Linked DNA regions of Astyanax mexicanus. The protein of the gene in region 1 interacts with the protein of each later gene in a pairwise test. Links are inferred from orthologs where the notes say so. Each region holds a gene or a part of one and is shown in the gene's direction. Other genes may lie near its edges.

Region 1 (8,007 bases):
CATCCATGTGTTGCCTCATTCTTTCAGCAGGATAATGCTCACTCACACACAGCAAGGGTTTCCCAGAAATGTCTTCAGAAGATTGCAATACTCTCTTGGCCTGTCCGGTCACCAGATACTAAATAAGTTTATAAAAGATCATTAGAAACATACGCTTTTTATAGTATTACATTGTATTTCTATTTTCTATCAGTGTTTGGACATGTCTCTGTGTCCTGAAGACACTGCAGACCTCTTTCTTAGGCTCTGACCTGTGAGGAACAGAAAACAACAAAGTTTGTTTATTTCTTCAACTCATTTGCACAATCTTATGCCAGGGTTTTATACAGACAGGGCTCTGCTTTTAAGACATTGGACCTCAAAAATCAATATATTTTCAGCTTTAACTTCAAAAGTGAAGAATCTCAGACTCTTAGCATAAACAAAAACACTGAGTCTCCACCACTCTTTGAGCACCTAGACAGGGAAAACATGAATACGGTGGCTTTAGGGCTCGGGGAATTTTTATCTTTATAACTTTATTTTTTTTATCAGCCCGGGCAAGACTAATAAGGGCAGTGTGGGGTGTATTGCACAAACAGGTCAGCAATCTACTGCAACTATTGCACACAAGAGTTATGAAGCAATACCAGTTTTATTATTATTCACTTTTTTACTGAAGCAATTTAGGATGAAACAAAATGAGGATTTCGTGATTGTACACACTGACATGCCAAAATAGTATAGAAACTAATATCATGTCCCGTGACTTTTGCCAAGATAAAGAACATTGCACTGACCTGCAAGATCTGATGTGAGGTCTCTTGCATTGAATGTGGAGTGATTTTGCTTGTCAGTTACTGTTTGTGTGGACAATTCTAGCCAGATGCAGCCAATCACGATCATTATTACCCACTGTTCTGTCACTGTGGATGATATTAATGCCTTCTGTGAAATATTCCAGATACACATACCTTGTGACACTGTGGATCGACACTGTGGAAATTGCCTTGCCATGAGCACCTTGGCCAATGTTCAACCTTTCTTACAAGATAACACCTCACAACTTACAGTATATCCCAAGCTGTCACCTAGGGTACTTCTTCATGATCAGTTTACATACTGACATCCCATGACTTCTGAACTGCCAGTGTAGCTTATAATAATGTAATGGAATATAAATATTATATATGTAATATAATATTGTACAGTTTTTGATTCATATATTACTGTGATATAGAACTGTGGTATTTCCAGTCATATAAATGGTGTTGTGATAGCTTTCGTCAGATATGAACAATATATCTGATGTAAATATATATCTAAAATGTGGACATGTTAATTTTCCTCATAAATTAAAAGCCTTTTTTTTAAACCGAATAACTATTATATTAAAATAAAATGTTGAAAATGTACTTTTAATATAACTTATGGATATGACTGGTTCAAGGTGATTTTTGTATTTTATATATTTTTATTAATTATATTTGTGTAGATTATTTGACAAGCCATAACCTGGTAAGCATGCATTTCTGGGTCATCTCTTTTGCCACTTAAATAGATTATAAAACAAAGAGCACTGAATAAAAAATTATACTTTTAGCATTATTTAGTCTAAAGTCTAAATTCATAAAATGTGAAAAAAATCAGCCTATTTTCTAAAGTTTTTTTTTCTCATAAACTAATCACCTGCACTTATGCACAAAATCTACTGATCACTACTGATCTACTAACCCCATTTCCTTCTGATAGTAGATCAGTTTTTCACATGAAATTTGTGTTCTGCAAGAGATTTAACCCATTAAATATAATTTTAGAATAATGTAATATAATTTGTTCATAAGAAAGCAAGCCAAATCATTTCCGATGCTATTCCTTTACTAAATAAATAAATAAAACAGCGGCCTGCATGTTTGTTCTCTCTCTAAAATGAAAGGCCTAAATGAGAGCGTGCGTCAGTAAGCATTATAAAGGTGATCATTATCTGATATTGGTTTCTGACTCGCGTTGAATTAAAATAATCAGCTTGAACTGATTTATTTGATGATGACCCATCATAACACATGGTGAAGTCATAGTCGTATCTTATCTTAAGGAGGCTCATTAAGAGCTCTGAGATACGCCTGGGGCTGAATCATCACTGTGATTGTGCAGAAATGAAAGAACAGCATGGGAACACAATGCTCTCTGTAAATACACGTTATCTTCTGTTTATGAAGCGATATCTATGAATGGAATCTAGGCCGAGGAGCCTTTTTTCTGTACCTGGGTCTGTAACAAAGCATCTTAGAGTACTAGTACTACAAACCCAGTTACAAAAAAGTTGGGATGTTGTGTAAGGTGTAAATAAATGTAAAAAGAATCTGCAAAATGCAATGATTTTGCATATTTAATAGAATGTTATTTACAATAGAACATTACATACACATTTTACAGGTGCATCTTACAGCACTTCATCCAGATTTCATTTTCCAGCAGGACTTGGCACACTGCCCACATTGCTAAAAGTACCAATTGGTCTTATAATTATAATATTCTAATTTTTTGGGACACTGATGTTTGGGTTTTTATGGGCTGTAAGCCATAATCATCAACAATAAAATACATCAATATAATATATGAGTTTCACATTCACAAACTTAATTACTGAAATAAAGTAATGTTTCAATGATATTCAAAATTCTGAGATGCACGTCGATATTGAAAGAGACACATTTTGCCAATTTAATAAAATCATAAACTCTTTTTGAACTTATGAACCAAAAAAATTGGGATGGAGCAACATAAAGGCAAAGAGGAAACCAAATGATAAGATAATGCAGAAACTCTGCCATCTTCTCTAGGTCAAAGTCCTTTTTAAATATGTACAATTTTGGTTAATCTGCCCATTTTAAATATGCTTTGGCATACTGGCAGAGAAGATGGCACTGTTTATGGATCAAGGTGACCCATGACTTCTTCTTTTTAATGATGCAGCTTTAATTGCATTACTAGATTGCATGGTGAACTGTGTTCACAGACAGACAGTAATTACTGGAAGTGTACCTGAGCCCATGTAGTGATTTCCAGGAAAGACTCAGTACAGGGGCGGGGGGTTTAATGCAATGCCAGCTGAGGGCCTGAAGATCACCAGCATCCAATACTGACTCTTGGCCTGCTGTACCTTGCTCTCTGTGATTTAAAAGTGCCATATACTTTTCAAGCATTTTGGAGCATTTTCCCAACTTTTTGGAGATCTTAGTGTTTTCCATTCAGCTCTACATGGTCTAATGTTGTTCATGAAATGGTAGAATGTGTCAGTTTTAACACTGATATGTGTTCTATGTTCTACATTTAACAGTGTCCCAAGATTTGTGGAACTGGGGTTGTAATACTGACTCTAATCATTTTGGGTTAGATCTATTCTGCAGTTTGTTTGAGTTTTTACCTCACTATCAAGGTTCTCGTATTATCTGATACGGCCGGTGTGGCTGCAGGTCATCATTATATGAGGTGTGTGTGTGTGAGGTCTTCTGCTGCTTGTCTGGAATGAAGATCTGCAGCCACATCAGCCTTTTGCAGATTGGATTGGTCACCCTTGGCTATATTCATTCAGCAGGCTGTAACAGGCCACATTTATGGCTCAGTGCTTCCATCTGCTGGCAGTAACAGAAGGAGGAGGGAGGCTGGAGATAGCACCTTATTTAAAATCTAAAATCTAGCCAGTGTGCCTGCAGGTTTTTATTACAGCCAAGCTTAAGCATATCATCAATTGATGTCATCAGCTGTTTGACGACTGATCAACTGATTAAACAGGTGGAATTAAATGTGCTGTTGATTGTTTAGAATGAAAATCTTTTTTTACATGCCTCATTATCTCAAAGAGTGGTGCTGCAATTGATTCTACAGTAGAGTTTGCCTCCTCCATTTCTCTGCTGGAGAAAACACTGAAATAGGACTTAAAACAATGCTATTTTCGTCCAAATAAGTTTGGTAACCAGTAATTTTCTGCATTGTAAAAAATGTAAAGATATTTTTAACACCTAGGAAACTTTTCCTATGTAAGCACCTATGTAGATATACATTAGGTCAGCTATTCTCAACTGGTAGGTCACAGACACGTTCTTGGCGGGTCATGGACAGCTTGTAAAACATATATATAAAATGAAATATCACTTTTCCAAAAAATAAATAAGGCCACAAAATATTTTACTCCTCTGCTTATATATATATATATATATATATATATATATATATATATATATATATATATATATATATATATATATATATATATATATATATATATATAAGCAGAGGAGTAAAATATTTTGTGGCCTTATTTATTTTTTGGAAAAGTGATATTTCATTTTATTGTAATAACATTTTTCATGCATATGTATGTTTAAATGGGTTGAGAACCCCTCAATTTGGATAACCAACACTACGTAGATAACACGCCCATGTGTGGCCCGTATGGGTTACCCAACAGGAAACCAGATAGTGAAGGACCCCATTAGGGTCAGTAATGGGACCAGAAGACAATAAATATGGGCCCCATGTGGGCTATACACTGCACATGTGGCCTATACACTGCACAGTAGTAAAAAAAAAAACGCTTATAGCCCATGTTTCACCCATGTGAGCCACACATGTGCATGCTGGCTGGGCAAACTGTCCCATCAGTCCAACTGTTCAGTATGATTTCAGTATTTAGTGACTACAGAAGCGAGCTGAGCACACATTGTGATGTGTACCAAAGTACACAGAAACATCATCCACGTCTACAGCACAGTTGATCCTGAGAAGGTGCTGCAGAGGCAGAATTACCACAATAAATTTTTTTTTTTTAATGTTAGGAAATGTTTGTAATCATTTTAAGCAGGACTGATATGTTTCAATACTTTAAAGGAACACATTTCAGTTATTAATGAAATGAAAATATGGTTTAGGGTTTAGTGGCTCTTTAACTAATTAGTCAGATTTTATAGTGTAGTGCGTGTTTGGCTCTAGCTGCAGAAACTGACTACATCTCCCAGAAGTCTGAGCGTGTCCACCTTTTACGCAGACTGACGTTCCTGTCGGGCACGTAAACAAGTCAACGGGAAGCAGCGCTGTGGAGCCACCCGAGCAGGTTAGTTTAAATTAAAGCTGTATTTATCGTGTTTTATGTGCTGATTTTAGCTGAAGCTGGTATTTAATGTGTTTATTTATTAGAGCGCTGAACTGTCGAGCCCGCGGCCGGTTAGCTGGGAGCTTCTGCCCCGCTGTAAAAGCCTAATCCGCGCTGCTCAGGCTAACAGTGCTAGCGCTGCTGCAGCTTTACTGCTAACCGGATAGATAGCCTGTGTTAGTTAGGTGTGTTAGCTTCAGCTAGCTAAATAAGTAACGTTAAGTATTTAATTACTCTAAATGTGTGTTTAAAATAGAATACAGAGCTTAAAGTGAATCCTCCATAAGATTAAAATAAAGCCATACACTCCTATAGGAGTAATTAAAGGAATTAGCCAGTGTTAGCAGTGTTATCAGAGGAAACTAGTTACTTAGCTTATATAGTTAAAATGACTGTATATGTGACTGTCAGGAGCTTATACACAATTTACACAGTTTTGTACAGCTAAGTTAGATAACATATTTTTATACTGAGCTAGTTATTTTTTATTTCTGTTATCCTACAGCAGGGGTGTCCAAACTTTTTTTTGTTGGGGGCCAGAAGGAGAAATATATTTGAAGTCACGGGCCACACTGTTTAATAAAACAAATAATGAAATATACCTCTTTAAATAATAAATTTTCCTCATTATTTTCATTTACACACCATTTTACTTGACTAACTATCTTTATCTTTGACAGTGTTGTGTAAACTAAGATTTTTTCAAATTGATGTTTAATTTCATGATGTCTCTTAATATTAAACTCCTTAATTACAGCAACTTTTAGACTCTTTGGTCCGTTTTTCTGTGCTAGAAATGCGCACCCTCTCCGCTTTTAGAATCTGTACCCCGTTTTTCTGAGCTAGAAATGTGCACTCTCTCCACTTTTAGACTCTGGCCCGTTTTTCTGCGCTAGAAATGCGCACCCTCTCCACTTTTAGACTCTTTAGCGTTCAAACTTTGAATCTCACATTATAAAAACCTGCTTAACAGCGGGCCAACTTTCATTCTATTTCTAAAATACCTCGAGGGCCGCTCCAAAAAAGAAAACGGGCCGCACTTTGGACACCCCTGTCCTACAGTACTAGCCAAAACTTTGGACACACCTTCTCATTCAATGTTTTTTTCTTTTTTGTTTCTTTAATTTATTTCCTACATTATACGTTAATATTAAAGGCATGAAAACAGTGAAGGGGCACATAATAAAATTATTATCTGACATGGGTCATTGTCTGACACTTTAAATGCTTCCATACTGCTCACGTGTTTGCTGCATTTACATAGAACAGGTGACTTTGTGTTGGTTGCTTGATTTTTGACCAGATGATTTGACTTTTTTTTTATTCGATGTAACAAGTTAAATTATTTGGAAATTTCATTTATTCAACAGAACACATGAATGCATTTATTATAAATTTGTTCCCTAAAATGTGGTTGCCAAATGCGATGCTTGTTTCGGTGAAAAATGGGAAAATGAGCTGAAATCTTTTGTGCAATACAGACGGAAGACATATTTTTAAAGAAGGTGTAACTTTGTCCTCACCATTTACATGTAAGGGCCTAGTTTACTTCTACACAATTTAGCACAGAGACAGTACAGGCATTATACAGTATAGAGTATAGGTCATCTCTGTCCAATGTAAAACAAGTATCTGCATTTTGGTGATTTTTATGTTATTACATAATTTGAACACATAAACTGTGCCAAATTTCTTAATAAATGAGCCAATAGAAATTTTCCAACATGACCTGAAATAAACTTAAACTTTACATTCACCTCCATTGGAATCTATCTTATGTAAAATTTCTGTTTTGGACAGAGTCGATATGTTATTTTCAGTGTTGAGTATATTAAATGATTACACTGATGTCTTTTGGGAAACACAAAAAGAGAATATGGGTAGAGAAAGGGTGACTAAGCCTTCTGAGGTCTGTCATGTGACAGAACATGAGGGTTTCCAAAACACACCATTTGTTGTGTCCAGTGAGGACACATCAGCTGCCACTGGGGTCAGAACTGGGTAGAACTTACTAGGGGTGGGCGATATGGCTCTAAATTAATATGACGTTATTTCAGGATATTTTTGCGATAACGATATATTTGGCAATATAGGAAAACAGAAAAATAATTCATTAATTTTAGGAATATAGTATAATAGTTTAAGAGTATATCGTAATGTGGCAAAATAAATAATATAGCATAAAATAATATAATGCAGCAAAAAATATTGCAGAATATTTTCATGCATATAAACTGCAAACTAAAACTATAAACTAAAACAATTATACAATAAATACACTTAAAGCTTCACAGTAAATAATGGACTACTTTTAAGACAAACCATCCCTATTTTCACGATATGGACTTACAATATCATGATATTTCTGTGTCACGATATATTGTATACAATATAATATTGCCCACCCCTAGAACTTACACATTAAACAGATTATCTGACACATATTTGGTAATGTTGAGAGGTTTATTAGAAATGTCATAGTGAACTTTTAGTTTCAATAGGGTATTGGCATTTTTGGACATTCTTAAGTTCTTTAGGCTATTTTCATACATTTAATAACATTCAGTTGGCAGGTTTAGTAGAATATAAACTAATAGGTTCTTTTACTTTTTCTAACATTTATAACACCTTCAAAATCATGGTATAATATTCTATTTTTTTTCAGTTTGTGTTATTTTATAATGCATTTATATTTATATTATATTTTATTTCTGCAGCAGGAGTGGCATAAAGTTTTCCAAAAGCAGTGTGTAAGACTGGTGGAGGAGAACATCCCAAGGTGCATGAAAACTCTGAATAAAAACCAGGGTTATTCCACCAAATATTGATTTCTGAACTCTTAAAACTTTATGAATATGAACTTGTTTTCTTTGCAT
Region 2 (7,285 bases), on another chromosome or scaffold:
CGCAGTTAAAATAGCTTCTTAGTTTAGGAATGTATCTACACTGATGGGCGTAATGGTTTGGAAGTGAGGTGTGTTCAAGTAAATATCTAGCGGTGGAACACACAGGTGCTCCACTGACTGAATAAATTCACAACAGTCAACACTCAGCCGCCCAATTTTATGTTAGCCATCCAGGGGCACTGTGCTCGTTGTGTGTCTCCAGCACACATACAACCCCACTCGTTAAAAACACACACAGATGCGCTGCACCACCCAACTTTTAACTCAACAATAAACAAAATAAAGAATAAAATAACATCACGGTTCCCTTAAATGAGCTGCTGGCGTACTTTCACAGCATGAACACACAGATCAGTATCCTCTGCTGAGACACGCAAAAGTGCAGCGTTGTTAAGATATGAACGTGCCAAGGTCAGAGTGCAGCTGCCTCTTAAAGGGAATGAAGACTTCCCTACACTGATTAGTTTATTTCATGTTATGTCCAAAACACACCCATGATTAATTAAGAGAATTAGTTCATGCCTTTTTGCGCCCTCACAATACCAAAGACACACTGACACGCCCTAAATCCAGCTGCACAATCCGCAATTGACCGCTGCGCTATAGGTCACTAAAATAGGGCCCTAGATGTTTGATTGCTGTTTGTTTGAGCCACAGTCTTGCTGTACTTTTGTCTGCCAAGTTTGTTTATTAGACTTCTTATTAGTCCTTCGTTTGTTTTATAGTCTTTGTTTTTTAGTCTTAGTGTTTTTTCTTTTTTGTAATGGCAATCTATAGATCCACATTTTTCTAATCACCTGTATGTTTTATTGTAATTAAAGAAGCTGTATAATCTCTCTGCAGGGTCATCGGCAGCGTGTCTCAGTTTGACGAGTTTGGCCGAGTGTTCCACTGTCCGAAGGGCTCACCTATGCATCCTGCCAACAAATGCTCCGTCTGGTGACCTTGGTCATGCTTCTTTTTTCATTTGCTCTGCTCTGTTTGTCTGTCCTCAACATCGCTGCCACAACCAGGAGAAACACTGACGTTATCAAGCAGCTGCGGAACGAGCTCTGGTATCAGCGGACCCAATCGATTTCAGTTCCTTCTGCCTTTGGAGAGACTTAAAGAGAAAAACTAGTTCCACCAAACAGCAATTTAACAAATCTCACTCCATCTCCCATCAGCTTTTATACACTGCCCTCACCATTCTAATACTAATGCTGCGTTCCATCATACAGACACGACTCGGACTCTCGATTAACTGTCATAAACATAAAAATACTTCATGTTAAATCAGTTTGCTGCACCAGTCATCAGTGCTGATTCTTTCTCTAAACACACAAAATTTACCCAAACTACACAAGAAGAAGCTGCATTTGAACAACTTATAAAATGTGAAAAGAGAAAAAGAGAGTTTACAATCAGAGTTTATACAGTCATGAAAGTTTAAAAAAAGTCATGGAAATTTGGTCTACAAATCTTTGAGTTTATCGATGGAGAAAATCTATTTTGAGCTACAAATACATCAGCTCAGAGTTAATTCAGTAATTAAAGCCTACACAATGGAGCTCTCAGGATTTGACACACATTTTATTATTTAAAAAGTTGTGTCAGATTCATTTTATGCTTACTATAATCAATTTTGATTGTTTTAAAAATCGTATGGTCATGAAATTTTCCTTGAAGGCATGGAAAAGTCATGAAAAAATAATGGAAATGTATTTGTTTTAAAGTGTATGAACCCTGTATAATGTAATAACTTTACAACTATGTTGTTTAAATAGCAACATAGCTTGTACATTTATCTCCAATGGTCTATCTTGGCAATGGAAAACACCGTGTGAAAGTGCAGCTCAGTTTCCTCATTGAAAATATCCAGGTAGCGGCGCTGTTAAAATAGCAGTCCACCAAAGTCAGAGCTCTTAAGGGAATGGCAAGTGATGTGATGATTGCTTTATTTTACATTACACTCAAAATTAACCACACCCATGATTAATTGAGTGAATTAAAACATGCCTTTTTCACATTTCGAGCCATGCAAGGTGTTCTTTTTGTATTATTTAGAGTAGAGCTCTTGTATTGAAATGTGTATCGCTGTCGACAGTATCGGAATCGCATTGGAATTGAAAAAATAGAGAATTGGCCCATTGCTACTCTAAACTGCCCTTTGGTGGATGTATTGCAAATGTAAAGAATGCAAAACAAGTATCTGGAAAACATGTGAAGCAAGATCAAGATCAAAATCATTGGATCTGGCAGCAAACCTTTTTTTTTCAATTACAAAAGTACAAAAGTACAGTGGAGCGCAGATAAACATTCCCATTCCTCACTCCCCCCCATCTTCACTTATACAAAACAACCTGCCCAAAGATACAGTAACTGCTTTAGCCATGGGCCTTTATTTACCTACCCAAATCATTTTATTATATTATCTTATATCTTGCATACAATGTTGTTTAAGTTTGTTCAGTGCTGCTTTTTTTTGGGCTCATCATACTGCATATTTTAGCTCAAACTTTATTTTTTCTACATTTGAAAAAAAAAAGTAAATTTATTTATTTTTCTATTTTTATGCATAGCATTCCTAATTTATAATGCTCTTAGTAACGTCATGTTTGAGTTGCCTGGTCTGGAGGTAATGCAGACCCTGAACGAATAAGAGTATGTGTGCGTGTGTGTATGTATGAGTGTTGGGGGGACAAACTATAAAGTATGTTGCCAAATAACATAAATTAAAGACATTTAAAGACGTTTTCCAGTTTTTATGCCACTGGAAAATGCAATGCATTTAGCGCCCCCTTCTGGTTTGGTGAAGAACAGCAGCTGCCACTGTTGCCTGTGTGTCAGTTGTGTCTTGGCCTTTTTGGATTGTTCAAACTGTATTTGTGTGTGTTTTTAAGTGGGATTTGTGTCGAGATGTTGGAACGAATGAACAATTGTACGCATGATTTTTGAAGAAAGCCCCATGTAACTTGTACTATGGCCATATTATTTCAGGACAGCCCTACAATACTTCAGTTCATATGGCATTCACAACTTTCTAGTACTATTCTGAGAACATGACAGACAGTTTGAGAACGAATAGGTTGGAATGTCACGAACGGCGAACTCAGATTTTCCCTGAATAACATAAAGGCCTCAACTTTTATTACTCATCTCTGTGTGACGTGATTCGAAAGCTGATTTTTAATGCAAGATTTTTTTTCCTGACATTCTGTGTTAAAAAAAAAAAGCTAAAAAAAAAAAAAGTTACAGACAAACAGATATGTATATAATCACAGACTGCTGGAGGCCAGGTATTTAAGAAATTTACTATTATGATAAAAATGTTTAATTTTATATGAAGTGACTACATTAAAAAAGACAAGCTACTTTGTAAGGACAAGGTATATGAGAAAGAGGTCATTATAAATATATGCATAAATATATATATCTGTCTTATAAAGCATGTTTACCGCAAAGTGTCTGATACCATCACCAGAATTTACAGACTGAATTACATATTAACATCCACCGAGGTTTAGAATGGATGCTGGAAATGGTGAACTTTGTTAATTTTTCAATAAACAAATGAAGGTCATAAAAACCTGGTTCATGTGGGGTGTGATTCTTTGTGTGTTTTAGTTCAATGACCTTATAAGGTAATTAATGCCCCCCGATTTTAGCTGACTCCATCCTTAGATCAAGTTTGAAAATGTTTGTTAAAACAGATCACTTTGTGTGTAATATATGTTTATAATATATTAGTTTCACATTTTGAACTGAATTACAGAAATAACGTAACTTTTCAATGATATTCTAATATTTTTTTGAGTGGACTAGTATATGTACAGTAGTTAAACCATGTATGTTATTAAGGCTATTTTGTGTATGAGTGTCCCCTTTAAAAAATAATAAATAATAAAAAGTTTTACCTCAATTTAAAATGATCTAAGATGCTCTAATTAAAACATTAAAACCACTCATGTTTATTTATTTATTTATGTATTTATTTGTTTAACATTATAACAACATATATTATAGCATATATATTATAACATATATTTAGTATTATTTTATCTAAATCATTTAAAAATGATCTAAGTTGATCTAATTAAAACACTGAAACTACTCTTGTTTTTTATTATTATTTTTTAACATAACATTTTAACATATTTTATAGCATATATATTATAACATATATTTAATATTATATTATCTAAACCGAGTGTTTAGTGCTTAATATTATTAATACCTGGCTACTATAGGATAAATAAGAGTGCGTGTTTTAAAGTGAGGGCTTTTATTTTGAAAGGGGGACTTTTACGCTTGTGTTTTAGCTGGTTGAGCGGTTCGGTGTATGGCGGTAGGCGGTTGTTTGGTGTAGTAGTGTGTTGGTGAGTGTTTGGTGGTGTATAAAGTGTGAATAATGAGGAGGAGACTGAACCCGGGCTGCAGAAGTGAACGCTGAGCGCGGAGTGATGGACCCTGCGGCTAAACCTGCGGCTCCACACCGAGAGAAGGTAATAAAACCCGGGAAACGGATCCGGCGGTAGAGTTATCCTCCTGAACCGCCCACAACTACAGCTCCTCTCTCAGCGTTACTAACACTGACCTGCAGCCCCGCAACCAGACCCAAATTCACCTGTTTATACTGTATTACACCAGTTATATATTACCCCCAGTCCTCAGGTAAATATAACTGTTACACAGGCTGTTAATGAGTTAACTGGCCACGCTAGCGTTAACAGTTTTCTTCCACCAGGAACAAACTGACAGCTCAACTAAAGATGAGCTCCAACTAAATATATCAGCGTTATCTAATATTTAAACAGCTTTTAATTATATTTAGCTAAATATAGAAGCCCATTACAACCACCTAAAGTAACATTTCAAGATGCTACGTCGTTATTTTAAGATATTAAGTAGTTTTTTGGTGATATACGTCGTTATTTTGAGTTATTTGGGATATTAAGTCGTGATTTTAAGATACCAATTCGTTATTTGGAATAGTAAGTCATTATTTTGAGATGCTAAGTCGTTATTTAGGGATATTAAGTCGATATTTTGAGATGCTAAGTCATTATTTGTGATAAGTTGTTTTTGGGACATTAAAATGTTATTTTAAGATACTAAGTCGTTATTTAGGATGTTAAGTAGTTTTATGGGATGGTAAGAGGTTATTTTGAGATGCTAAGTCGTTATATTAAAATATTTTAACCTAGCTAATCTAAGTCGTCTATTTGAGGTAATATGTCTGCAACAAAATCTTCAAATAATGACTTAGTATCCCAGAATAAGTATGTCAAATATCTTAAATAACAAAAGTAGTGTAGCTCTATATTGGTTCAGATTTTCTAAAAAAAAAAAAACAAAATAGTAAAAACACATTGGTGTAGTGTAATATATCCAGTCTGTTCTGTATCTAAGGCTTTATTGTGTGACCCTTTGTGTGTTCTGTGTGTAGGAGGTGCTGCCTGCGCCCTCTAGAGGCAGGGCGATGTCTGACAGCGCGTCCCTGACCTCCTATGCTGAGTACCCTGCTGGCCGACCCTTCATCAACACACACTTACCTCGTAGACCTGTTAAAGCCTTTCCAGAGAGCAGCAGCGGAGGTAAAACATACACACTTAAATTATTTTATTTTAATGAGTGAAGTTAATGTAAGCAACACACACAAAGCCATTTTCGACCAAATATGCATGGCTGATTTCCAATATGTTGTCTAACTGTGAGTTTTCAGTGGTTCTCAAAAAAACCGACAGTGCACCTTATGCATGAGTTCTACCAGTCTGGTATTAAGGAGCAGTAGAGCCACTCTGCTGAAGAACAGAGTTATCAGGGTGAGTTTTCAGTGAAGTTTCTCCAGCACTAATGCTGGGTGCAGCAGCATTAGCATTAGTTGCTAACTAGAATGCTAGACTGAGGAACCTTAAGTGTTACGAAACCCAGAGTGCTTTCAGCTAGCGGTTTGTTCCACGTAGCTTGTTTTAACATGGCAAACACACAGACTACCGTCCAATATACTCACTTCTGAAGGGCAAAAGAGCTAGCACTGTGGTTAGTGGCTAATGCTAAAGCTGCTGCATCCAGCCTTAGTGCTGGAGAAAGTTCACTGAAAACTCACCCTTATAACGCTGTACTTCAGCGGAGTGGTTTTACCGCTCCTTAATACCTGTCTTCATACATAAGGGGCGCTGTTGATTTTTGGAAGATATTGTACCCTATATTACCTGTTAAAGTATATATAGCTATGCTTTTATTTAAATAATAACAAGTCTTAACATGATATTGGTAGCTGATAATGTGTGTAATATTGAATCGCTGGGCTTATTTGTGTGGAATGCTTCCTGCCTGCGCCACCTATGGGAGTTCTACAAGGAGGTTCTGCACTTTGCCTATGGGATCCAGCAGCTCCCAGTGGTGTATCCTGCGTTTATCCTGTGTTGGAATCCATACACTGATTATGTCTGGAAAACATTGCTCATTTTGATGTAGATATCCTTAGAAGTGTACTTAGTAGTGTTGCTCAATGCAAAAATATGGTACATAATTTTTTTTATGTTATTTACTTTATTCAATAAATAATACTTTACTCAATAAATTTACAATATATTGACCCAGAAATCTTTGGGATAAATTATACTATTTTTATTTTAAGATTGTTTTATGTTACTGATATAATGATAATACGATGGCATAATAATACATTTACATATAATTTTTTAAAAGCATCAAACTCATAATCATTAAGAATCTTCACACATTTAAAATTAAATTGTAATATAAAATGCTTAAATAGCATAAAATAAAACAAATAAAATAAAACACTGCTTTTTTCTGAAATTGATATACAAGCCTGTTCACATTAATGGGCTTTTTTTCCAAAAACTGTACACATTTGTTAAAATTGAAGTCAGCAAAAGTTATTGCGGTTATGTCCATATATTGTGCATCCCTATGAATAAGACATCCTCCTATAAAAGCTCCTCTAACCATGCTCTAATGATTTGCAGCTGATTATAATTAATAACTAATACTTTTTTTACTGTTTACTTCGTAATTGCAAAAAAAAACTTGTCCTTTGATTGTTTTCATGTCTTTAATATTAATCTACAATGTAGAAAATACATTAAATAAAGAAAATCACTGGCTTAGAAGATGTGTCCAAACTTTTGACTAGTACTGAAGGTCAAATATCTATATTTTCAAATGTGTTTCTGTGGGGTGTCCTTATTTATTCACACCTTTATGCAAAACTGGATACACCCAAGCCTTTAACATTCAGTGGACGTATGTGTACACTGGTGTGTTGTTGTATTCC
Region 3 (7,578 bases), on another chromosome or scaffold:
AAATGGCAACTTTACATGAGATGAAAAAAAGAATGGAGGTCAGTTAAAAAGGTTGAATTTAGTAATTTTGGAGCATTACTATTTATCCATTAAAACATCAAATTCAAATTATGTCAAAATGTAAAAAATGGTAGATACGGTTTTGCCGGCCAGACTTTGTAACTGTAACAGAATATGCAATAATTCTAGACTTTATACACAAATAAATCACATGAGTGTAATATTATTAAAATTACAAAATCAATACCAGTTGGTACTTTTGGATTGGAATTGGATATGCTGGCAATGAAAATGAATTGAGAATAAAATTATTATTTTTAGAATTGAGTTAATCCCTGAGCAGTAGAGCAGTGTCTGTTGTAAGTAAGTAATAATAATTAGTATTTTATCACATACAAATCAAATTTTTTGGTGAATGAAAATGAAAACACTTTTTTCTATTACAATCACTTACAGCTTAATTTATTATTTGTAACAGTTTGCTGAACTAAATTAAAAAAATCTCATAGTTATTTTACTGTCATACAATTCAACTGTCTATTACATTTTGTTTTTCTTGGTCACTGCTTTTCTTCATGCTGTAAAACGTAAGTTATTAGTTATTAAATGAAGGAATAAAAGAGGTGCGCTTATATATAGGCCCTTGCATTTGAAAGGACAAATAATGCAAAATAACTACAATAATATAAATAATCAATACAAACAAAGGTTACAGCAGTCTGAATAAGTAAAAGTACTCATCTCACTCACTCATCTGATAGACTGAAATATTTCTTAACTTACTGCTGTAACCCTGAGAGATCAGGGTGAGAGTGAAAGCAAGGAGCACAGTGATCCTCATCCTCTTCATCACAGACACAGATGCTGACTGGAAAGCACCCAGTAAGAGGTCTTCACCCAGTCTTTATACCAGCCTGAATTGCCCTTCACACCTTACAGGCTCCTCCTATATGTTTTACCATCCAATCACAAGTGCAGCTCTGAAAGTTCAGCAGTCCATGTGGAGCAGATGGAACTCTACAGTAGCTCCAACATATGCTTATGTGTAACCAAGAAAAAACCTGATTAAAGGTAAATCTATTGTGATAGACTTTCATTTCTTTTTTCTATATAAGTCTCATCTCAGCTTCACTTCCTCCCAGTCTGTCAGTTTCACACGGTTAACTTGCTGTAAATATTATTCTCTATAGGCAAGTGCACGAGATTTAAACATGCACTTTTAGACTCTTTCAGAAGCCACCTGGTGCTCTTCCCACTGAGACAGGAACAGCGTCATACAGGATGAGAGAGAGAGAGAGACCTGTGCAGATTAACCTCAACAGATTTCCATTACAGACAAACCAGAGAAGATTATACTATATGGAAGATCTATTATCGTATTTATTGTTGGTAGCACTCACTAAGACTACCTTTTATAAATGGTTTATATAAATAGTTTATTAAAGTTATAATTTAGGTTAAATTACCCTAAATTACTTACACTCACAAATGGCAAGGGTAATAATGTAATAATATAAATAATATAGAATGTCAATTTAGTCAATTATTGTGTGAATGTACTTACATTTCTTAAACTGCAACCTTTCAACGGAAACAATAAGGAAGGAAAGTTCCGTGGTGTTTTACCATTTACTTACAGTTTATTAGTTTTATGTGTAGCACTTTTCTACTCTTGTAACAACACCATAAAGTGATCATTTCAACATGAACTTTAACTCTTCTTTAAACATATAACCCTGTTATGATATTATACACTAGCAGTTAAATATTGTGGCTCTTATAATGGCAGTATTACATTTAGATGCATAATTATTATTGTTGCACTGCAAAAATGCCGCCATGTTACTTAACCAGCAGACAATTTTTTGGGCACCTTGAAATACAGTCACAATAAATCAACTGACGAGCACAAACAGATTGCAAAATGAAAAAGTGGAAGTACAATTTCTAAATTCTCAATGCTTTGTTTTAAATGTCAGGGTCCTCAGAATTCTACTAATAAAGTGTGGAGCCACTTTGAGCTTGTTACTGGTGTACTGGTGTACTGATGTAAAAATAGAGATTTCTTTGCATGAGCAACACTATGCCCCTATCACTAGCATTGTAAGCATGTTAGAAGCCTTGGCTAAAAGCACTGTATTTCAGAATAAAATGTTGTACTCGTTATCATGTTTCACTACACCTCAAGTCTGTTTCACACTGAGGTTTTCCTTTCATGTAGAAGTGTCCCACCAGTGGACTATTTTATTATAGCAATATGTGCCCATCAGTGTTGGGCACCTTACTTTGAAAAAGTAATTAGTTATAGTTACTCGTTACTTCTCCAAAAAAGTAACTGAGTTATTAACGGAGCTACTCCACTATAAAAGTAATTAGTTACCAGTAAAAGTAACTATCGCGTTACTTTTTATTATTCACCCGTCAAAAAGAAAGGGAAATCAATTATGCAATTACTATTATTATTAGAAAAATAACAAACGAAAATGAACCCAAAATGTTGACAAAAATATAATCTAACGAATTAAAAAAAAAATAAAACGAAATTCTCCACACAACCAAAGAAAATTACTAAAACTTGTAATACTGAAAAAAGCGGAAAAAACGGAAAAACGCGTCTGGGGATGAAATTAAACAAACCAAGCCACACTCAAAGGAAATATGTATATATATACAAAACAAAATAATGGACAATAACAACAATCTAATGACCGCTAAAATGGTATTAATATAACAGCTTCACCAAAAGAGAATAGTGCTTAGATCGGGCCCAAAAAATCCGACCCGACCCAGCCGGAGCCCGTGCACGTTCTGCCCGAGCCCGAACCATGAACTGTCATTATGAGCCCGACCCGATCCGACCCATAAACTGTCTGTTTTCGGGCTGATTGAATGAGCGAAACATAATCAGAATTATGTTCAATAACACTGTAACATAGAAGCATAGAACTACTATTTAATTAAAATGATTTTTAAGAACAGCTACAGTGCTGCAAGTTAAACGCGGAGGCGTTCACGTGCGCCCAGAGCTACGTGATCTCCGGTTTCTCTTTCATCTGCCTGGCGCTCATATTGTAATTCTATAATTCTGCAGTTTTTAGTGTTTTCTGTCGTATTTTTACACAAGAACTAACGGACCACGAGGTGCCGCGCGCTCGGCACAACACCGCCGCTGTACAACTCCGCTGTACAACAGCGCTTATAAATAAATTAAACACTAAAAATGAGGGTATTCTATCAGTAATTTCAGTTCGTTTTAGTTAGTTTTATAAACACAAAATACAGTTCGAGATAGTTATGTTTTTTCCTTTTAATTACCGTTTTTATTACATTCAGTTAACACAAATGTTTTTTTCACTTTAAGTTTTTTATATTTCGTTCGCTTTAGTGAACAATAATAATTGGTTACTTAGCAACATTGTGATTATCACACCAGAGCTTTATATAAAATAAAAATAGGAGCCCGATTTCGGGTCGGTCCTCGGGTCAGGTCGGGTTCGGGCAGAGAATCTAAGCTCTAAAAGAGAAAGCAGCAGCACCACAAAAACCGGAGCAGCTAAAAAGAGTTTAACGTCCTTAATTCGAAACTTGGGCTGTCCACGGCAATCACTGAATTGATTAGAGCAGCAAATCGTCACAAATGTGCCTCACTTCACCACGCCAAACCACAGGCACAGCGGCCAGAAGCTCAAGTTCACCGGAAAGAGGAGGGGTTAACCAGGGCAAAGCGAAGTAAAAAAAAGTGTGGCTAAAGTAACGTGCAGTAACAGGGTGTCGGAAATGGTAACGGCGTTATAGTTACAGTCATAGTAATTAGTTAGATTACTCGTTACTGAAAAAAAGTTTTAACACCGTTACTCCCAACACTGGTGCCCATTTTATTTTTTGGCAGTAACCTTCCTAACAATCATCCTGAATCTGCTATACTGTTCACGGGTAAAGTAGTACTACAGTATTTTTCTCACCTTTACTGTGGACACAGAAATGGAAACATGCACGCTTTGCTCTAATATGTTTGGAAATGTAATGAGTTCAGTTCAATAAATACATTTTTCTAACGATTACAAGTCTAAAGTGTTGTACATGAACACTGTATTGTTTTGTTGTGCTGTCAGTTAGCATTTGCATGTTGTGCTCAGAAGCACATCTGTATAGAACCAATACAAATGGATAAAGCTTTATTCGTATAGTATTGTTCAGAAAATATGTTGATTTAATTTTTATTTAATTTAATTAATTGTAATTATAGAAAAACATAACACCTTACATAGCGTCAAAGGAAACAGAATATATTAGATAAATCAATTTAGATAAAAATGACAGATTGGAACCTTTTTATTTCAAAAATATTATGTGTATAATGTGTAATTAATGCCAAGACAGAAAATAATAAAATCGTACTTTATGTAAACGATAAAATGTGAAATATTTTATTTTTATAATATATTATTATTTTTGTACAGTTTCTAGTAGACTACAGCAGCAGATATGGGACACAGCCCTTTGGCGCTCCTCTGCTGTAGGTGGCGCTCTGAGTGTGTGTATGAGCACTGTAGAGTAAGTACCGTGTCCTTTCGGCTTGCCGTATTCAGCGTGCTTCAATGACACACCGGTAACAGAGATGGCTGTATCGACTTTATTCAGGTCTATCAGAAAAGAACTCACTAAGGTAGGGGTGATAATTAAGCTTCAGCACATGTACACTTAAACTGAGCGCACAGAAAGCAGTGTAAAGAAGGCTGGACAATACTAAAGGCGTGTTAATACTGTGTGCTCTGACGATTATCTAACATGTACCTGCCTCTCTACACTTTATTTATTCTCTTTAAGTTAAAGCTCAGTAATGAAATATCTCGCCGTGTTCCTCCCAGGTCTGCTTCCAGCAGCATGTTCAGTGTTTACACAGCGGTCCGGATAAAGCCCTGCTGCTAAAACTGCGCAAAGCCACCGGCTACACCTTCATCAACTGCAAGAAAGCGCTGGAGAAGTTCAACAACGACATCGCACAGGTACGCAGGTAGATTAATGCAGAAATTATGCGTTTTTTAATGTATACTGTAAATTAGATGTGTTTAATGTTCTGTTTGTCTGCAGGCTGAAAGCTGGCTGCATGAACAGGCTCAGAAGGAGGGATGGAGCAAAGCGAGCAAGCTGGAGGGCAGGAGAGCCAAGGAGGGGCTGATTGGTGTTCTGAAGAATGACAGTGCAGCAGTCATGGTGGAGGTCAGTATTCAATACAGCTTATTTAAAAGACAGCACTGAAGAAAGTTAGTCATGGCGTAAAGGAGAACTCCTGTGTACAATTGACTTTTGGTGTAGAAAAACATGATAAAGGGTACTAACCTTCGTTGAATAGCCCATCTCCACTCTCATGCAGCTTTCTGAGATTCAGTCATTTTGTGCACTTTGCCCAAACAGGCTTTTACAAAAAATGATACAGGGCATGCCTTGCGTATGATAAATCGCTTTTTACACCGTTATCCAGGCTCCACGCTTCATGGATAGAATCTGGAGAACCCTGAGATTTAAATCGAGGCATGTAGAACTTTAAAACTGCACTAGAAGTTTATTCAACACCGCTGTTCTCTGGGCACCACCATTTTAAATTTAAGTCACATTAAGTCAACTGCCGAGCACAAATACTAAAACATTTAGAGCAGTGTTTATGTAAATTGTTGTTGGTTCTATGCGTTCTAATATGACAGCAACCAGATATTTTCAGTAACAACTAGAATTCATGCATTTCCAAGGAATGAATTTTGCAATCTGCTCAACTATCCTACCAATATGCTCTAAATGCTTTTAAAGTTCTTAATACCTGATGTTCAATGTCAGGGCTCCCTGGATTCTATAAATAAACTGTGGAGCTACTTTGAGCCTGGATAATTGTGTAAAAAAGTGATTTATCTTTAGGGGCAAGTGGATGCCCCGAATCGTTCAATGTAAAGTGCTGGGCAAAAAGCACAAAATTACTAGATCTCAGAAAGATGCGGGAGACTGATGGTGGGCTATTTAACAAAGGTTAGTACTCTGCATCATGTTTTACTATATCAAAAGTCCATTTTAGACTGGAGTTCTCCTTTAAAGTGTGAGTATCTCAAGCAGTATCTTAAATATTCTCTCACTCACTTCGAGTGCTTGATGTGAAATGATATTAATACATTGCTATTTCCCCGCTCACACAGAGTTAAATTAATTTAGTGGAGGTGCACTCTCAGTGCCTTTTTAGTGCCTTGTTTTAAATGTCAGGGCCCTCAAATTTATACCAATGAAGTATGAAGCTACTTTGAGCTCATTAATGGTGTAAAAATAGTTATTTCTTTGTATGAGCAAAACTATGCCCCTAGTGAACTACATTTACCACCTCCTAAATCAGTGAACTCAGTACATAGAAACCAGGCACATATTTAATTTAATTTCAATCATATGTCTCATAAAGCTATTAACATCGAAGTTATGCATTTGTCTACCTAAATTCAGTTCAGAAACCATTTACACACAAAATAAACCTTCAAGGCAGAGTAACAGCCAGTCAATGTAAATTTTGTCTTATTTCATACATAAAAATCACCTGATTGTAATCAATAAAAGGAAAAATAACAAATGTGGTGTAGTTTTTGCATTTTTACACACTCTTGCTTAAACTAAGTGAAAGTTGGTGCATTGCATGTTGCCATGAAAACACTTTTTTTCCTCTCTATGGGTTTAGGTAAACTGTGAGACTGACTTTGTGGCAAGGAATGAAAAGTTTCAGCAGCTGGTGCAGGATGTTGCTTTGGCTACAATGGCTCATCATTGCAGCAAGGGACAAGGTGGATACAGAAAGGTATGTTCAGTCTGCTTAGCATCTGCATGTGTGAATGTTTATTATCATTCAATTTAACTTGCACATCTAAAAAGAGCATGTTAAACTTTTATTATTGTTACAGAGTCTGTTGTCTGCTGAAGACCTTGCTAAGCTCACTATGGTGGAGGGCCCCTCACTGGCAGATCAGCTGGCTCTGACCATAGGTAAGGAAAAGTGGGTCTTAGTGATGTTTATGTGCATTCTGCAGGGACTAAATGTCTAAATAACATACTGGAATAGATGCTGTTCTCTGCCTAAGGTGCTTTTTCTTGCCTTGTAATTTTTATAGTGTTCGTGTAAGTTACAAAAGACCTTGCCACCTCTGACTCCTGCTCTTTCTTCACTGCCCTGCTTAGTTCTGTTTCCCCCCCTCTTTCTTCACAGGCCGACTGGGTGAGAACATCTCCATAAGGCGAGCTGTGTCCATAGGTATACCTTCTGACTGGCACATTGGCTCATATGTGCATTCACCAGTTACAGGGCCCAGCAGTTTGATGATGGGGCGCTATGGCTCTCTGGTGGTGTTCCAGGGGGGGCCTGAGGGAGAGGTGGAGTTTCTGGGCAAGAAGCTGGGACAGCACATAGTAGGGGAGGCTCCTGATACTCTTGGCAACATGGAAGATCTACCCTGTGGGGAATCTGAGACACGGCTTTTACCACAGACCTTCCTGCTAGAGCCCAAATACACTGTAGGACAGTTCCTCACTCTGCATAACGCACGAGTGCTTGACTTC
Region 4 (7,076 bases), on another chromosome or scaffold:
TATGGCTCTTGCCGTGCACCATGCAAGCTAAAAAATGTGTGTGGGTCTCCTATATTAAGTGTGGATGTTAAATTCTGTCAATGTTATTTGCTTGTTTACACCGAAAATTCTAGCCAGACGCCACCAGTTACATTCATCAACAACGGCACTGTCCAATGTGGGTGGTAATGCCTTCTATGACACACTCCTGGTGCACATGTGATGGTAGACTGTGGATTGACAAATGTTAAATGATCACACATATTTAGAAATAGTATGTCTCATTAGTCTGGAACTTACCAAGCATTGTTAAAACTTCACGATGCCTTGCCATGAGCATGCTGACCAGTGCCCCTGTTGAGAATTACTGCCAACAGAATAGGAGGAGAATAAAGCCCTACAGCATTGAGCTTGAGTGGAATGAGAGTACTCATCCAGAACTTTTGGGATGAGTTACGGAGTTGGGGATGAGATGAGGTGGTGATCATCCAACAGCCTGGCCTCACTAACACGAAACATCTTGGAATTTAATTAAATTCTTACAGCAATGCTTCAAAATTTAGTATAAAGCCTTCTCTGGACAGTAGAGAAAGCAGGATAAACGTAAAAAGCTCCTTTTAAATACCATTGATTTCAGAAGAAACAATGACAGTTCAAAGAATTTAAATCTGGGGAACCAGAATAGACCTCTTTGTTGTTTCTGCTAAAGAACAGGCAGGAGCCAAGAAACTGGGAGGCAGATGGGATGCATCCCCCTCAATAATCAAATGTAAAAATATAAGATACTTTGTGATATACATTTTGACACACAGATACAATACAATACACTATTTGTGCCAGATTTGAAAAAAAAAAATACATATTTCTAATCTAAAACAATTGTAGATTATCATTATTTTAATATTTAACTCAAATATATTTAGTTAATCAACATTTTCAGCACCAAATACACTTCATTTGTGCCTATATATATTTACATATACATAATAGGTTAGATTACTGCTAAAGCAAAACAGTGGTGTTCATGAGAAATATAAATGTATGAGCATATGCATTATAGACTGTGTACAATAAAGCATATAGTGACGTGCAACGTGCAACTCTTGTTGTCCTGAATTTATTGCACAGCTGGATTTAAAAGAATACTGTATACATATTAATTAAATTCTGTAAGAATATTAATTCAGCACTGCAGGTGTTTATTCCCATAAGGAATGTTGCTGTGGAGCCTATTTTATGATACCAAATAATCTATTTAAATAATAGATTACAGACGATTTTATTCGATTATTTAAAACACTCTGAACATTTAAGATACTTACTGAACCCTAGTTCAGTTTCATACAGTGTGAAAATTCTGTCGTATGTAATTATGTTATGGATGAAACACTGATATTCATTTAGTCGAGTTTCAGCGTCAGCGTTTCAGTCGCCAATTAAAGTGAACCCATGGGCAGCAGCGCCCTCTTCTGGAGATTCACAGGTTTATTAAGGATAACTCTTATTTCTTTGATAACACGTCTATTTTTAGTAGCTACGTTATTTGCATATACTAGTCTTTCAAATATTAAAATATATATATTAAAAACCCGCAGTGCCAGTCAAAATTTTGGACACAACTTTAATTCAGTTTTTTTTTATTATTATTAAATTTTAATTCTGCATTATAGTTAAGAAGTCAACCAAACTATGAAAAAAATCCATATGGAATTATTAAGTAAACCAAAAGTGTTAAACACACCAGAATATAGATTATATATTAGGTTCTTCAAAGTAGCAAGATAAATACTTTAATTTCTTGTCCTCTTAATGTGTCTGAGAGCATCAGTTTTAAAGTTGTGAAGAGGTAGAGTTAATATACAGTAAATAAGCTCTATTTGAGTAATGTCCTTATTCATATTATTGCCAGAACTACTCACCTAAGTAAAATAAAGAATACGAAGAAAAAATGAAGGTCGGTCCATCCAAAAAAAAATCCAAAACTTTGAAAGTATCCACAAGTGCAATCACAAAGATGATCAAAGATCAGTTCATTAGTTTCCAGCCTCAGAAACAGCAAGTTAACAGCACATCAGATAAAAGCCCACCTAAATGTATTTTGAGTATTTCGGTTTGTTTAACACTGTTAACGGTTTACACCTTGATTCCTTTTGTGTTTCTTTATTGTCAGTGTTCATTTACATTGTAAGAAAATAAAAACTTTGAATGAGGAGATGTGTCCAAACTTTTGACCAGTGCTGAACATTTTCCGTGTTTTGTGAAGCCATCTAGTGGACCTTGCCCAATATTGCAGTCTGGTAGCATTTTGTCACGTGGACAAAATTGTTGGTACCCCCTTGGTAATGAAAGAAAAAAACACAATGGTCGCAGAAATAACTTGAATCTGACAAAAGTAATAATTAAAAATCTATAGAAATGAACTAATGGAAGTCACACATTGCTTTTCAACCATGCTTCAACTAAATTAAACTCATTAAACAGGCCTGGACAGAAATGATGGCTCTGCGGAAAATAACAGGTGTCTTCAATCTTGAAATCAGTCGGTGAGCCTATATATAGGGCTATAGACATAGTGGTTAATTTAAGAATGTGTCACATTTTTAAAATGCAATAATAACTAATACCAACGCATTCAGTTTGTGCAATAATCACAGTCTAAAATCATGCCGTTTAATATGATTTTTTAACAGCTGACTAAATCGTGGCTACACTACTGCTTGTCTTGTGGGTTAGGCATATCTATTTTGAAAGTTAAAAAGACCTGAAACTGTTTTTACTACACTATAATGTAGAACTGGTTAACTACTGTCTCTACCTAATTTGTAATTGGTCTGTCTGACACATTTGGCCTTCGGTTTGCTGGTTAAATTCCAGCCAATGGGAGCGCTCACTTGGCTGTATCTATGTAAACTTCACTGAGGAAAAGAATCCTCATTGGACATTTTTCCTTTTGGCGGTTCAAAGGCTTAACCATTTTGTTGCCAACCAAAATTGAACAAAGTAAAACAATAATTATTGTCCATGAAAATAATAAATACAAGCATAATTTGTTTTAACATTTAACATTAAACTTTGGTAAATGATTAACTATCAGTCAAAGAATTATTACTATCTGGTGGTATGTTAGATTTTTAGAAGCTACTCATGAACACTAGTCAAATCTCTTTAATGGCTTGGTCTCATCTATACATAAAAACAGATAAGTACAGGATACAAATGATATCTTTTGATGACAAAAACGTTATTTCCAGAGCATTCATAGTTTTAACCAAAGTCAAGCTATACCCGTAACCAAGCTCAGCCTGGACTCAACCCAAATGCACTGTGCCGAGTCCACACCTGAGCACAAACTGCAGTTCAGTACATAAGAACACGTTTACCAAGTCTGATTAAAGTTCTTAAAGTTCTGATTAAAGTTCTTAAAAACATATCCAATGCTGGTAGTGTAGCTCTTTAACCAGCATTTTTTCTGGATGAAGCTGGTCTTGAGCTGGGTTTTTTAGCAGGGGAGGAAAGAAATATAGTACTCTAGTTGTCAAATCTTATTTTATTTGATACAAACAGCTGTTTTATTCTGTTATGTCATGTGATTTTTTTGTTTGTTTTGCGTCCTTGGTATTGAGAAACTACTCAAGTGAATGCCAAGTGCCCGAATCGACCATGCTGGCTGGGAAAATCACCTCACACGTTTAAGCTCTGAAGAGAACTTGAAGGCAGAATAACAAGATTAGATTTAAACAAATATATATATATATATATTTCATTTCAGGCTTGAAATTTTAAATTAAAATTAAGATTATTAAGATATAACTTTCTTTATCCTAAACGGATTTTTTTTTGTTAGAATAACACAAAGTGAATTATTACATAAAAAGCTAGAGTAAAAATACCTAAAAGATAAACAATACACTGTGAAAAATCAGTTCACAGATCAGATACCATAATAAATGCACTTCTAACGGCGGTGTACCATTTCACAACTCACTAACTGCTATAATGCGAGCAATGTGTCGATTTGAGACACAGCCCTTTACCGTTGGCCCGTCATCCGGGTCCTTCGTCCTGCTGATGACTGCGCGGTGACGTCGGGGGGCTCAGGAATGGCGGCGCTGCTGAGGGAAGGAGCTCGAAACTTTACTAACAAACAGATCCGCGCATTTCTCTCCAGAGCCGACGCCTGCGCAGGCCGCTCGCTCCGCCGCTAGAAAACGAGCTCCCCGGTGAGAAGAGCGGAGTGCGAACCGCTGAGCGGCGGCGGGAGGCTGATAGTAATAGGACCGAGCCCGTCCGCGGATCCAGGAGTTTGATTAGCTGTTAGCCTGCCGTTAGCCTGTCGCTGCTAATGAGCTAACGGGCAGCCTCGGCAGCGCAGCGGAGACTAACGGGGACAGAGAGGCAGGAACAGCGCGGCTCTGCGGTCCGTACATTTCACCCGGGCGGGTCTGGAGTGAGCTGAGTAGCCGGGGGAGTAGAACTCGTCTTCAGTGGTGTGTTTTGGTCCGGGTCTGGTTCCGCTAGGCTGAGTTCTGGGACACCGCTCCGCTCTCTCTCTGTCGGTCTCCTGTAGTTCAGCTGTATGCCACCATGGAGAGTCTGACCCTGACCGATGTGGAGCAGAAATACTACTCGGATCTGTTCATCTACTGCGATGTGGACAACACCAAGAAAGTGGCCTCCAACGGGAAAGTGCTCGACCTTTTCCGGGCGGCCCAGCTCTCCAACGACGTGGTGCTGCAGGTGCAAGTTCCGCAGACTCACTGTCTCATACACACACACACAGCTTAAGAGCTAGCAGTGTCTCTCAGCCCTGCTCCTGCTCCTGGAGGCCCACTGCCCTCACAACATTAGTGCTTTTCCTCATATGAACACTTGCTAGCTAACCTAACACACCCACCTTAATAATAACCCCTACTGACAGGCTGTGAATCAGTTGATTAGCTAGATCAAGTTGGGTTAGGTGTGTGCTGAGAGCAGGGAAAACACTAGCTAGCTTACTAGCTAACTTAATGAACACTAGCTAAAAAGTGTAGGCTGTATTTTTTTTAAAGGACATTGGCTTAAGTATACTGCTAACTAACTGTAAAACCTTGCTTTTCGATGTTTTAACCCCTTAACAGGCCAGGATTTTTGTCAGTTTTCTGCGTGACATTAAGTTACACCCCTAAATCTTGAGGATTTCTATTCAATCATTACATAAAAAGCTTTCATGATCGATAAAGAACATTACTGAAAGGCAAAATTGTTATTGTAATAGAAAGTATAAAAACATATTTAAGTAAATCTGCTAATGTCAAACTATAATGTATACAATTATAAAATTGTCTCTGTACTGAACTTCATATTAAAATAATATTTTCCTGAATACAAATTAAACAGTTTATGTCCTCCAAACCTTCAGTTTCGTTATTTTTGTGTAGTATTTACGTCTATTTTCAAACATGCAGAATTTAGTTCGATTCCTGTTAATGATCTGTAATTCTTAAGTAGAGAGAAAATAAGCAGCTTTTCCAAATGTCCCATAGGATATTTTTAAATCTCTCAAATTTTCAGAATGTAAATAAGTTATTTTACTGCAGAAAAAAAGGTTTTTATCACCTACATCTGTAGCCTGTATACTCGTCAAGGCATGTTAAGGGGTTAATAGGTTGATTTAAATGTTGTGTCAGTTTTGAGGAATGCCAGTATAGCATTAGCTTTAAAAGGGACTGACTTGCTGGCTAGATGTAATGACAAGACTGGCTCCCCAAAAAAATCTAAGCTAGCTGATTGACTGACACAGGAGCCCAGGATCACTAGTCTATCGACTAAAGACGTGTTTGGGATCTGAAGTGTGTATATTTAAGGTGTTTAAAGTAGCTACAGGAGCTGTCGGATTAATGCGGGGTAGCAAAACGCAGTGCAAATCTATTTTGTGACAGAATTCAGGGTCAAAATGCAGCAAATCTCTCCCTATTCATTGACTACATTAGAGAAAGTTGAACAATGTGTTAATATGATATTTTTAATGTTTTAACCTTTCATCCCTTAGACTGAAGTATGATATTTAGTTAATGCTCTTGACTAATGTGCCCAAGGACTCCTCTTTTTCCAGAACAGCAGTTAAGCCTGGTCTTAGACTGTATTTTTCTTTTAATACAAAATACCATTTTAAATGCTGTGTAGTCTAAAACTAGTCTTAATCCCTGTCTGGGAAATTGCTAGTTGTTGGTGTAATGTGGTGTGTTTTCATGGCCATGGAATCAAATCATAGTTATTGAAATTAAAGCATTTTTGTTACCCACCCTGCAACACCAACCACATTAACTAACTGTTAGTTAATGTTGCTAGAAAGTGTTACTGCTGCAGATAACACAAATGTTGTAAATAACCCAAATAATAAATGTTTCTAATGGCACACTTTGTTACATTCAGCAAAATCAAAGTAATTTTGCACTTACATTTGCCTATATACAATTTAAATAGATATGAATTTCTTTCTATAGAGAATATGATAACTTGCTTGCAGAAAATAAACAAACCCGTTTCACCAAGGTTGCCTAAACCTTCGCATGAGGCTTTAGCTCAGAGTAAGCTTTCTGGCAGGCTTGATAGCTTTGCAGTGCTGATAATATCTCAATACTGTTACAGCTGGTTAACCACACTTATGATAATTCCAGCTATGCTAGACATATCACACAGATCTCACAGCGAGCTTAGACATCTACAGTGTATTGTATAAACAAGCAAAGTCCGTTTGTGGCCAAACATGGGCCCAAATAAAATAGTTTATATCTGGCTGATAGAAGGATGTTGAATAATGCCTGAAAGCTTAGACACAAACAAATATGTTAACATTTAACTCCATGTTTTTGTGGGTGGTCCAGAATAATATCTTTATGGTAAGAGTTGATTAAATAAAGTAGCAGGTATTCCAGGTTTCCAACTTAATCACACTTTTATACCCACTGTTATATACCATCAACAATAGAAATCAGATTTACCTTTACTTTTTACTGTTACAGGTTTTTGTCTATGTATTAATTTATAATACACTTGTTACACTTGAAAATAGACATACACTGTTATAGGAGTTGTAACAGACGAGAGAATCCAGTATT

What was found.
Region 2: the proteins of ralbp1 (region 1) and cep57 interact in binary tests that used the Homo sapiens proteins (3 or more experiments, as listed by UniProt). The two-hybrid records come from large-scale screens. The link is inferred for Astyanax mexicanus from reciprocal best matches to the Homo sapiens genes RALBP1 and CEP57.
Region 3: the proteins of ralbp1 (region 1) and tsfm interact in binary tests that used the Homo sapiens proteins (3 or more experiments, as listed by UniProt). The two-hybrid records come from large-scale screens. The link is inferred for Astyanax mexicanus from reciprocal best matches to the Homo sapiens genes RALBP1 and TSFM.
Region 4: the proteins of ralbp1 (region 1) and reps1 interact in binary tests that used the Homo sapiens proteins (3 or more experiments, as listed by UniProt). The link is inferred for Astyanax mexicanus from reciprocal best matches to the Homo sapiens genes RALBP1 and REPS1.

What each region holds. Positions count from the first base shown.
Region 1 is NC_064411.1:46,520,208-46,528,214, forward strand, and holds the start of ralbp1 (ralA-binding protein 1), read left to right. Parts: upstream 1-5,005; 5' UTR 5,006-5,092; intron 5,093-7,848; exon of another isoform or gene 7,849-7,910; intron 7,911-8,007. UniProt on the Homo sapiens protein: Multifunctional protein that functions as a downstream effector of RALA and RALB. As a GTPase-activating protein/GAP can inactivate CDC42 and RAC1 by stimulating their GTPase activity.
Region 2 is NC_064425.1:11,086,982-11,094,266, forward strand, and holds the start of cep57 (centrosomal protein of 57 kDa), read left to right. Parts: upstream 1-4,283; 5' UTR 4,284-4,442; coding exon 4,443-4,484; intron 4,485-5,428; coding exon 5,429-5,576; intron 5,577-7,285. Other genes in the region: endothelin-converting enzyme-like 1, read left to right, coding at 844-943. UniProt on the Homo sapiens protein: Centrosomal protein which may be required for microtubule attachment to centrosomes. May act by forming ring-like structures around microtubules. Mediates nuclear translocation and mitogenic activity of the internalized growth factor FGF2, but that of FGF1.
Region 3 is NC_064412.1:16,983,973-16,991,550, forward strand, and holds the start of tsfm (elongation factor Ts, mitochondrial), read left to right. Parts: upstream 1-4,559; 5' UTR 4,560-4,618; coding exon 4,619-4,666; intron 4,667-4,868; coding exon 4,869-5,006; intron 5,007-5,091; coding exon 5,092-5,220; intron 5,221-6,706; coding exon 6,707-6,823; intron 6,824-6,926; coding exon 6,927-7,008; intron 7,009-7,228; coding exon 7,229-7,578. Other genes in the region: endou (uridylate-specific endoribonuclease A), read right to left, coding at 784-850. UniProt on the Homo sapiens protein: Associates with the EF-Tu.GDP complex and induces the exchange of GDP to GTP. It remains bound to the aminoacyl-tRNA.EF-Tu.GTP complex up to the GTP hydrolysis stage on the ribosome.
Region 4 is NC_064408.1:82,930,587-82,937,662, reverse strand, and holds the start of reps1 (ralBP1-associated Eps domain-containing protein 1), read left to right. Parts: upstream 1-4,055; 5' UTR 4,056-4,563; coding exon 4,564-4,716; intron 4,717-7,076. UniProt on the Homo sapiens protein: May coordinate the cellular actions of activated EGF receptors and Ral-GTPases.